Schizosaccharomyces pombe: one gene and its partner. The protein of the gene in region 1 interacts with the protein of each later gene in a pairwise test. Each region holds a gene or a part of one and is shown on either strand. Other genes may lie near its edges.

Region 1 (6,489 bases):
TCTAAAGAATACTTTTTCAAAAAGAAATAGTATTTTAAACAATCAAGTTTGTTTTGAAGCTATTAAATACATCCAAAGGCATTATTTCAGCAGTCAATCGCACCATGTAACCTATCTTCACCAGTCGCCGCTTGAGAAATTGGTGAGTAATGGCGTGGTAAACGAGAACGGAGATTTGACCATGGATTCTCTTTCTCATCAAATATACCTATTACACAAAAATCGCCCCACCTTACCATTAAAACCAACTAACCAGCCTACGAGATTTGCATCTGTTTTGATGCCTCTAGTAAACACTTCTCAAGGAGCTTCTTTACTACTCACGCAACGTTCTCCAAACTTGCGTTCTCATGCTGGACAAATGTGCTTTCCTGGTGGCCGTGTGGAACCTTCAGACGGTTCTCATTATTATGCGGCATTAAGAGAAACTTACGAGGAAATTGGATTCCTCCCTAATTTTTTTACTTACTTGACTACTTTCCCTCCATTATTCACCAGAGATGAAAAGACTGAGATTCGGGCTTACCTTGCGTTTTCGGTGCAAACCTCCCTTCCTTCACTTGGGACAGGTGAAGTGAAAGATTTATTTTACGTTCCTCTCACCTCTTTTTTAAATCCCAAGCACCAAAAGATATCTCGATTTCGTAATACGGATTTGCTTTATGTCGAATTTAACATTGATAAGATTCCAAGAATTTGGGGAATAACAGCGGTTATATTAAATATGTATCTTAATTCTATTTGCCCGGATGCTCTTATCTCAATCCCAAAGTTTTGATTTTACGCTTTAATACCATTACTACATAGACTTAATTAATATTTATTTTTTCTTCTGTTATTAATAGTAATGCTTGATAATAAAGTCAATAAATTAAAATAATTATAGTAGTAGAATTAATTGAATGTTGTTAAAAAAAAAGAGAGTAAAAAACGTAAGTATCCCAGATTAGTAGTTTGCGGTCTTTGCCTTTGCGGCAGCTCTTTGCAATGATTGTTTCAATTGAGCTTGTTTTAGCCACTCATTCTTCATTCGCTTCATTCTTTCAATTGAACAAACAACGATAATTAGACTCTTCAGCTTTATGTGTTTCTTAGATAAATCAGGATCAGGTGAAATTCCAATTTTCTGCAGCATACGTAAATTTATTTTATTGCATGTTTCGTATCCTGTTAGTTGCATTAAAATAAATTTTTTTGAAAAGGCAAGGTCCAAACGAAGAGAGTGCTCTCTTCGACATTTCGATTGAAGATATTTAGTCAACTTAGAGAGTCCCTTTATTTCAGATTCGTATTGCCCTGACTGTGTGGATTGCGGAGTATTTGATTGTAAATTCTTATAGCGTGCACGTAATTGATTATAGTCATCTAACAATGATTTATATTCTTTTCTATTACGTTCCAAAATAGTAGACAGATGATCGATATTGTTAGTCTTAGACTGAAGAGCCTCCCTGAGTGTCTTAAGCATTAATTGGCTTTCGTCGGTAACATTGGAAGTCATCAATTCAGCTTGCTTCATAAAATGATTGTTATAAACCTCTAATTCCTTCTGGATTTCCTTTAGCCTTTCTTCCAGTTCATTTTTATCTTGTACTAAGTTGTTCTGATAATTAAACTGGTTTGATCGATAACTTTCAAGCTCATCGATAAGTATCGAACGTTCTCTTTCTAACCATTTAATCTTTTCCTGCAACTTGGTTGTTTGCTTATTATAGCTGGAAATATCATCCATGAGTAAATTTCGATTTTTTAGTTCATCTTGAAGCGCAAGCTTTAGATCTTCAATCGTTTTCTCAAGGTACTCGATTTTAGAAGTATGTTCAGAAGGATATAAATAGCCATTCTTCCGATCAGGAGAGCTAAAAAACTTTTGGGCAGCGTTTTCCAAGTCATTCATCTTCTCACTAACGTTTCGATTTCGTTGTGCAAGAATATCATGCTTTGTCTCAGTTCCCAATCCAAATTTTTCAAAGCTTCTACTAAGTTCCTGTTCCTTTTTACCAGAAAACTGTACAAAATCATGCCGTAACTCTTGCTTCAACGACCGAATCGTTTGGATTTGTTGATTGACAAAATGTTCAATTTGACTGACTATCTGCAAAATACTCACCGAAGAATAATCACATCCCATCAAAAGGCATAGTCTCTTTTTGACAGCATTTTCTTCTATATTCGCCTCCTCAATTCCCCTATTTAAGTGATGCACAAGTTTATCTAGCTCCATTTTGTCAGATTCTAAATGACGAATTTGAGCAAGCTTGTCGGCCAACTCGCTATTGAGCACATTTATTTCTTTATTTTTCTCAATATCATCATTTGATCCAGATCGTATTTTTCTTTCTTCGAAGAGTTTTTTACTTAATTCGGATAGTTCTTCCTCCCTCCGGTCTAAGAGGTTTTGGGCATTTATTAATTCATTTTTTAGCGAAGAGTATTTTAACTCCAAAGCCTGTTTTTCGTTGCTCATTAATTCAAAACTAGCAGATAGCTTTTGTCCAGCCACTATGGCTTCTTCTCGTTCTTCTTCGCTAACATCTAATTCGTCTTTTACGTCGGTAAGCTGCCGCTGAAGTACTGAAATTTTATCGTTCAGAATTTCCATTAAATTTGTATTATCAAGGTCTTTCGCATTTCCAGATAAATATTTCTTAATGGATTCTCTTTCTTTTTCGAGCATTGCAACTGTCTCTCGTAATGAACTAATGACCAAGTTCTTCTTTTCCAAATTTGAAGTCAACTCTTTCTCTCGATCTTGTAATTTATTAATGGATTCATGAAACCGCCGCAAATCGTTGTCTTTATACTGAAAAGCATTCATCACTTCATTATAAGTTTCTTCTTTATCCTTAAGCTTATTTCTATATTCATCAATAGTACCGTTTAATTCAGAAACGTTGACTTCGTATGACTTGATACGTTGTTCTAACTCATTTATTAAACGGTCTTTCTCTTTGGTAATAGAGTCAATCTTCAAAGTTAAGCCTTCATTTTCCTCCCTAAGATCGTGTATCTCGTTTAAGTCATTAGAATTCTTCATTCTAAGGGTTTCCAGTTCTTTAGTGACTTCTTGCAATCGGATATTCGTTTCTGCAAGTGCTTTATCTGAATTTTTAGAGGCAAGAAGACGTAAATGATTCTTCTCTTCATCTATTTCACGATTTTGCGTACGTAAAGACTCAATTTGGTTACCCAACGAGGAGGTCATCAACCGTAAACTGTTATTGTCATCTTCCAAAGTTTGGAGTTTGGATTCTAGCACGTCTCGTTCTTCTTCCAAGCTTCTAAATTGAAGCATAATATCTTCAAAGTTTTTACCTTCTTCGTTCATTCGACTAATTTGATCATGTAAAAATTCGATTTCTTCGTTCGCTTTGTGTAATTGTTCTTGAAGGGTATGTACTTGCATGGAATCTGTCAAACCAATTGAGGCCTCGGATTCATGCATTATCTGATTTTCTTTCTCTTTTTCGAGATCGGCAGTAAGCACTTGTATTCTATCCGCAAATTCATCACATTTGGCTTGCAAAATCGCATAGTCTTCTTGAAGATGTACGTAGCTTGAATTCTCCTCATTTTCAAAAGCTGAAGAGCTATTCTCCTTTTCCTCAATCTGTCTTTTCAGGGTGGCAATTTCGTCTTCTTTCTCAGTAAGCAAATCTTGAGCAACATCTAGCTCTTCCGATAATTCATCAAGCCGATTTTGTAACTGTCGTATTTCATATTCATAATCAACTTCCTTGTTACTTTTATCCTCTTCCATCTCTGTAGATAAACTGTCTTTTTCCCTTTGAACTTTTTCCAAGGCATTCTCCAAAAAACGAATGCGCTCCGTAAAAACTTTTACATTCTGGGATTGCTCGACATCATTAACCTTAGATAAATAATCGACCTTCTCTTCTAATTTGAAATTCTTGTCTTCAGACTTTTGAAGTAAAGATTCAGTTCTCTTAAGCTGAAGCTGTAAGTTTGCTCGTTCGGCATGCAACTCAACATTGTCTTTGACAGCTTCTTTTATCTGTTCGGGAGCCATAGACTCAAGTCGCTTTTCCAAACATACAATTTTGATTCGAAGTCCAAAGTTTTCTCTGCTAACTTTCTCAAGGACCTTTTCTTGCTCACGAAGAGTAAGGGCGGCATTTGCAGGCAATTCTCCATCTGTGTGATCTATTTCGGAATTTTTCGAGAGATCGGTAAGCTTGGAAACGTCGTAAGAGTCATTTCCCTGACTGATGCTCAAAGCTTCTTGAGTAGCTTGTTTAGATATAGCAGATAACCCGTAGGAATTAGGGTCAAAAGAGCCTTTATCGCCCAAACTCCCGTTGTATTTATCTGAGTTTTTATTTGAAGACTGTAATAATGGAGTAAATTCCAAACTACCTTTTGGTTGATAAGAGCCGTTGCGCAAAGGCGTCTGGAAAGATGATTTATCATTAAGGTACGAACCACGGAAATCAGAATAATCATCGTTATTATTTTTGAGTGATTTCCCCAAAAAATCAGATTGGCTGATCACAGAATTCGCGTTTTCATCTTTAAATTTGGGAGATTGCGTATTAAAATCTCGTTCAGACATAACGTAACTGCGGATGCATGTATTTATTAAAATTATCCACCAACTAGCGCAAGTGCATAAAATTATATAGAAACTACTTATTCTGGCAGAATCATTAAAAAGCAAAAATGTTGTTGATTGTAGTTTGTTTACAGTCGTCAAATGATCAAATAAACTACGAAACAGCTCCCTAATATAAGTAACAACATATCGTATACTTTCGTTATATCTTGTAAGGATGCTAAAAGTCAAAAGGCGAGATTGTAGATATGAAGGATTATCGAATGTAAAACTGCCTTGATATGTTTATTGTACTCAATACAGAATAGAAGAGATAGGAATTTTATTCGGAAGAAGTATTTGGTGCTCATTTATTTATGTATAAATTGATAAAATCATCGATAGGGTCCAAAACGTAAACATGAATCTAAAAACAACTCAGATAAGTTTCAGCAACAAGACGAGCTCTTCCGTTCAAGAAAAGTTTCATCTCACTAATTTCAGCGTCAACTTCCTCCATAAACTCAATAATGAAATCAACTAATTTGTGCTTAAGCATTTCCTCAGTATGGTAATTAGTTATAAGAAAGGAAATATCATAGCCCTATAACAAAGAAAGGTTAGTTTGATGATATTTACAAATAGCAATGGCAACTTCGAAAAAGAAAAAAAAGAAGAACTATACAATGGCTGAGGCAGAACAGTGAACACTTAAACTAACGCAAAATCTCTAGAAATTCTTCCCTTGAACACTTTTTTGCCAATTACAATTTGTAATAACGTACCTGAACAGGTTTGCGGCGCAAAATAAAGAAAGATTCTGCACGACCCATTAAAAACTGCATAAATTTGCGCACAAGAATTCGTTCAATTTCATCGACTTGTTTAATACGAATGCTGAAACGAACACTAATTTCATAAATGCATCAGTAAAAAAAATCCAAATAATGAGAATGACTTTCAAAACTCCGTTATTCCAAATCGAAAGATCAGTGAATGTACCAGTTCGAATCGGAAACATCGGATGCCTAAGACATACCTATTAACAGAGCTCTCAATCAAACACTGTTCTTGCTCATTACGAGAGACCACCAGGGGCTTTAGTAGAATTTCAGGAGACCGTCCAACCTCAACTTCCGGCTGACTCTGGCGTTCTACAATTTCTGATGAGAATTCCTCTAATGCTAAAGAAGCAGTCAGAGTAGAACGAACTGCGTTTAAATAAGGTCTTAAGGTATTAGACTATGCCTTCGTTAATAAATCATATCTTTTTATAACAAAAGAATTCCTCTCTTACCATAATTAGAATCTATGGAGTCAGTCTCCGGGTTTGGTTTTGTGCTAACACGTAGTGTCAGTGTGATATTGCTTAACGAGTTTAGCGGCACAACCACGCACGCTGCGTGGTGTTACCGAAAATGAGTATATAGCTCGTTACTGTATGGCCTTCACCAAGTACCAGCAACATATATAATAAGTATAATTTGCAAAGAATTACAAAAAAAATTATATTGGGCTTAAACAAGTATTTCTTTCATTAATTACAAAAACCATTTATGATGATTCCCATAGCAATTCGTTGGCAAGGGAAGAAGTACGACTTAGAGATTGAACCTAATGAAACAGGAAGCACCTTGAAACATCAACTATACTCGTTGACACAAGTTCCTCCGGAACGACAGAAAGTGATTGTCAAAGGTGGCCAGCTTAAAGACGATGTTTTGCTTGGTTCAGTTGGTATTAAACCAAATGCAACTTTATTAATGATGGGTACTGCAGGCGAACTACCAACAGCTATGCCCATTCCAGCTGTCGAGTCAGTAGAACAAGAGGAATCTGAAGATGATGGCTATCCGTCAGGGCTTATAAACTTAGGCAACACGTGTTACATGAATTCTACAGTTCAAATGCTGCGTGCCATTCCAGAATTATCAGAC
Region 2 (4,802 bases), 1.7 Mb from region 1:
AATACAAAGCGAGCATAAACCAGGGAGAGAAATTGGCTCTTCCGAATTTAAAATGTCTTTAAATTTTTCAATGCGTTGCTTATAGTCCATAATAAACTAGAAGCGATTCAAATAAGATATTATGTAGTTTGACTATATCCAATTTAGTTATATTATCATATATAAAATATTACTGTTGAAAATTAAATATATGAAGAAAAGGAGAGCGCAATTGGTGTGTTCAGTAGCCTGTTTCACACGTGGATGATGGAACTAAGTTAGCTACTAAAATTGAATGCAAGTTTAAGAACCGACTAAATTTTCTGACTTATTTTTTATACTAATTTCCTTCTTAACAATACTTCCCTAATCAAATACTGTAGGAAAGTACAGAGTAATGAACGTCCTTAGTAGATGTACAGTATAGGTAAGATTGATGTAGGTGCAACATACAGACCAGGAAAGAAATATTTGGTTTAAACAGCACCTAGAACGAGCAATTAATAATAATTGGATATTTATTAAATAAATGCACCGTTTTCTAATGTATGTATGTGAGAAATTAGCCTTGAGATTGGCTCCAGTTTTGATTCTATCTATAATACAAATAAAAGAAGAAAGAGTGGATATGCAATTTATATTAGGTTGTATATCGAACTGTTATGATGTATAAATATACGAAAATTGGTAGATAATGTATAACCATAAAAGAAGGCTTAATTAATGGAAATCAAAAGAATTCGGGTTGTATTCATGAAACTGGGGTCATCAATATGAAACTAAATTAATCATGAGAATACAGAAGTGGTTTGGATAAAGGAAACGGCATCAATACATTAGCAATACTCTATCAAAAAAAAAAAAAAAATTATGGAGATTGTTTTTATCAAAAATGAAAGCGCAGATCATGATTTTTGCTCCAAATTCAGTTGATCCATTGCAATTACCAAGTCCTCGCTCATTTGTATCAACTGTTGTCGTTCCTCCCTTTCGACCCGGAGCTCTTCTTGAAGCGCTTGCAGTTGTAAACGAAGTGTTTCCAAATCACCTGTCTGTTGTGATTGTTGTTGCATTAGTAACTTATCACTCTTCGCCATATCAGCTTTAAAATTGTTCAAAAAATCTGACATATCTTGGCGCTCTTGAATGGCTTTCTCCAGCTGTTTTTGGAGAGTCTGATTGTCTGCTTTCAATGCTCGCCTTTCTTCCTCCCAGTTACTGTTGGATATTTTTGGAGCATTAGGAGCAGTACCGATTTGATTTTGAAGCTCCTGTATAGTTGCCTCGTATTTTCGAGCATAATTGGCTTTGAAAGCATTAATTTTCTGAGTGTGCTTGGCTGAGTACTGAGCATGTAAATCTTCAGCAACTTTTTCCATGCGTTCTTGAATTAACTTGTCAACTTCCTCTTGAGTATATTTACCTCTCTGAAGAGCTAATGTCTCTTCATTATGCCCTTCAACAAGTCTCATGTTGGTATCCTTTGTGGAGGGACTAGTCGATGCTTTTCCAGATCTAAGTTGCTGAAGTTGGTCATTAACGGCAATCAATTGTCCCGAAACATTGACGATTGTATTTTGGAGTACGGAAATTTCATGATAAGTGCCAGCAAGTTTGGCTTTGTAGCCCTCTATTTCAGCTTCGTATTTCGCTTGCTGCTTTTGAGTGGAATTAATTGGGTATTGAGTAGGTATATCGGCCTGTGAAGTTGATGGTGTAGCAGAGTTGCGAATGTTGTCTTTCAAATGCACTGGTGGGTTCAACGGCGCCGTATTAGTTTGACGTGGGAAGCTTCCGTTTGAAAGCACTGGGGGCCTAGAACTAGCTGATGTTTGCAAAGATGATGAATGACTGTATGCAAAATTAGATGGAGCGGTATTTAAAGAGCCTCGTTGGGAGGCCGCATTGGACGATGAAAATAAAGAAGGATTCTTCGGCGTCAAAATAGATTCTACATTTCTTTTTCTATGCTTAAATTCTGGCGTTTTATGCTGTGACAAAGGATGGGATATGGGATGCATCGGTCTAGGGGTTCCTGAAAAATCAAAAGATTTATTCAACTCTAAGGCTTGTAGTCGATCGCTTACTCGCTTATTAAGAGTATCCTTTAAATTCAGCTGTGGATTGGGTTTAGAAGTTAACTTAGGGAATAATTTAGGGGCAGGCATGGATTCCTCTGAACTTCGTTGAGCTGGAGGAATCAATGATTCTGAAGAGGCACCTTGCCTTTTTTCATGAAAACCCGTATGATCAGTTTCATTTGTCCCAATACTAGATGAGGAGGGAGACCTCCTACTGTAATCTGTAGAGCTCGAAACGATATCACTCATTTTCGGTTATGACTTTTTAAAATCGTCAAACGATATAAAGAACTAACAGATATATGAAATATAAATACACAAGAAAATCCTTTTTCAAATATTTTACAGCTGGTATTATCGTTTCAAAGTTAACGATCAGTAGCTAACTTTTATTTTTACTTTTTGAAAACTGGTCAGATGTCCGCCTACGTAGAACAATGGTTCAATAACAAACTTGAGTCATACAATGCCCAATAAATAACCCCTTATTGCCCTCAATTCTTCGTCTTGATTCAACACTAGGCGTACAATGGTGGTGTAAATAAAAGGCACATACATACTGGTTTACACTGAGTAAGGAGAGAGTGGGAAGAGTTCACCGAGCTCTCGGTGAATTTTCGGTAGCTTGTTCTCCGAAGCCTTTGTAATAACACCAAAGTATCCTACTGTAAACACTAAACAATTTGCAAGTCAACCTTTGATATTATGTGTGCCAAATTTTAGTATGAAGAAAAATGAAAAGGCAAACGTATGTATATGAAAAGAGGGAAATCGTGATTATCTAATGAATGGCAGATATCGGCCTCATACAATGACCTAATTGCAACAATTTGCAATCCTCGTATCTCTGATGTCGGTACATATCGCATTGAGAGTGTTGTCGGTGAAGGTACGATACTTTTGTGTTATTGTGAACGCTCAATACTGGACGGCTATCTAACAAGCATGGGTTGTAGGCAGCTTTGGAAAAGTTTATTTGGCAGCTCATTTACTGACAAATACAAAGGTATGGGTTATTCAAAGATTACTATGTCTCTAAGTTATAAAAAGAAGAATAAACGGCTCGTAAATTGCGAATATTGACCGTTCCAAAGTCGGTTGATTACATTATGAGAATGATAAACGTTTTATTCATCAATAAATTGATTGTACCTTGCTAACATTTTTATTAAAGGTTGTCCTGAAATCATCTTGCAGGAAACAAGCGATTATCCTTGCTCGAGAAATTCATCATCATCGGCGTCTTCTTCATCCAAACATCACGAGGCTTTATGAAGTAGTATGCACCGAAGACCGAATTTATCTTGCCATGGAGTATTGTCCAAATGGTGAATTGTATGACTGGGTAGCGAGAGAAAAAAGGCTGGATGAAAAGACCACTTGCCGTATCATGTGGCAGCTATGCTGTGCTATTCAGTATTTACATAGACAAGGCTGTGTTCACCGTGACCTTAAACTCGAAAATATTTTTCTAGATAAAGCCTACAATGTTAAGCTTGGAGACTTTGGGTTTTCTAGAGATTCTGATTGTTCCCGTAGAACATTTATGAACACACGTTGTGGTACAGTTGCTTATTGTGCTCCGGAGCTAGTACAGGGCCATAAATATATTGGTGAATGCGTTGATATATGGTCTCTGGGTATAATTATGTACGCTCTCTTAATAGGAAGGCTCCCGTTCGACGAGGACGATGTATCTTTAACTGAGCAAAAAATTATCAATGAATGTCCTCAATATCCTGAAACACTCTCCAAAAACTCTTCAAGCTTGTTGAAATCCCTCCTTTGCAAGGATTACCGACTTCGACCCTCTATCGATCAAATCATCTCTCACCCCTATTTCAAGGAAAATGGATATCATTCATCTTCTATTCGAGACCCAAGGCCTTCCTCGAAAGCAGAGGAAAAAGTTCGTAAAAGGCTTGAATTTGTTGGTGTTGACATGGATCAACTTAATGCCAGCATCTCACAACAGCGCTGTGACATGTTCTATGGATGGTGGCTTTTATTACTAGAAAAAGAAATGCGTAAGGAAAACAAAAAAAAGAAAGGTTTGTTTCATTTACATAAAGGTTCATCTTCGGCTGTACACATAGCTCCAGCAACTCCATCATTAAAAACCGCTCAAGTTTCTGTTATGTCCAACAATCAGGATTCTTTAAAAAGTCGGCATACATCGTCAGATTCAAGTAATTCTTTGCTTTCTACATTTCGTAGTTGGTTATTCGATCCTAAACAAAAGCATACTGCTGATACGTTAAGCTCATCAGCAATTAGACCAAGAACACCTAGTCCTTCGGCTGAAAACTATTTAACTCAAGAAAATTTTGATTCCGATAATTTATCTGAGTCTTTAGACAATTCAGTTGAGAACCTTACCGTGTTTCCTTCGATTAACAGTTTTGGAAGAAGACACTCAAATCTTCCTCAAACAACGCACGTTGATACAGGTGAGCAAAACACACCATTCACTCCTCCTCTTTTAAAAACGGTAAACCTCGACGGTAATAAAGACTTTACCTTCCCCTCGAACTCTCAAAATAGCCCTTCTAAAAGTTCGAACCTCTCAATTAATATTGATATTCCACCTTCTCCTCTGCAAAATACTGTCATATCTCCCCAGCCGACTCGACGATCACGAACTCCCATACGCAGCTTGTCTGGGCGTTCTTCCGTTGCTTCTTCGAGGAATTCATCCCGTACTAGATCCTATTCAAACGTCTCTTCTGCATCTTCAAATTC

What was found.
Region 2: the proteins of pcp1 (region 1) and alp7 interact in binary tests that used the Schizosaccharomyces pombe proteins (3 or more experiments, as listed by UniProt).

The regions. Positions count from the first base shown.
Region 1 is NC_003424.3:3,253,593-3,260,081, forward strand, and holds pcp1 (gamma tubulin complex linker, pericentrin/kendrin Pcp1), read right to left. Parts: upstream 4,689-6,489; 5' UTR 4,574-4,688; coding exon 947-4,573; 3' UTR 809-946; downstream 1-808. Other genes in the region: pcd1 (coenzyme A diphosphatase), read left to right, coding at 1-778; ARP2/3 actin-organizing complex subunit Arc4, read right to left, coding at 4,980-5,156, 5,338-5,461, 5,592-5,794, 5,850-5,852; ubiquitin hydrolase Ubp6, read left to right, coding at 6,109-6,489. UniProt on the Schizosaccharomyces pombe protein: Spindle pole body component that binds calmodulin. Overexpression of pcp1 causes the formation of supernumerary SPB-like structures and disrupts both mitotic spindle assembly and chromosome segregation.
Region 2 is NC_003424.3:5,001,887-5,006,688, forward strand, and holds alp7 (kinetochore-associated protein Alp7), read right to left. Parts: upstream 2,600-4,802; 5' UTR 2,310-2,599; coding exon 885-2,309; 3' UTR 514-884; downstream 1-513. Other genes in the region: tbc13 (GTPase-activating protein), read right to left, coding at 1-90; serine/threonine protein kinase Ppk16, read left to right, coding at 2,785-2,808, 2,856-2,949, 3,017-3,066, 3,235-4,802. UniProt on the Schizosaccharomyces pombe protein: Required for bipolar spindle formation and proper chromosome segregation. Has an indirect role in connecting the kinetochores and the plus end of pole to chromosome microtubules by targeting alp14 to the spindle pole body.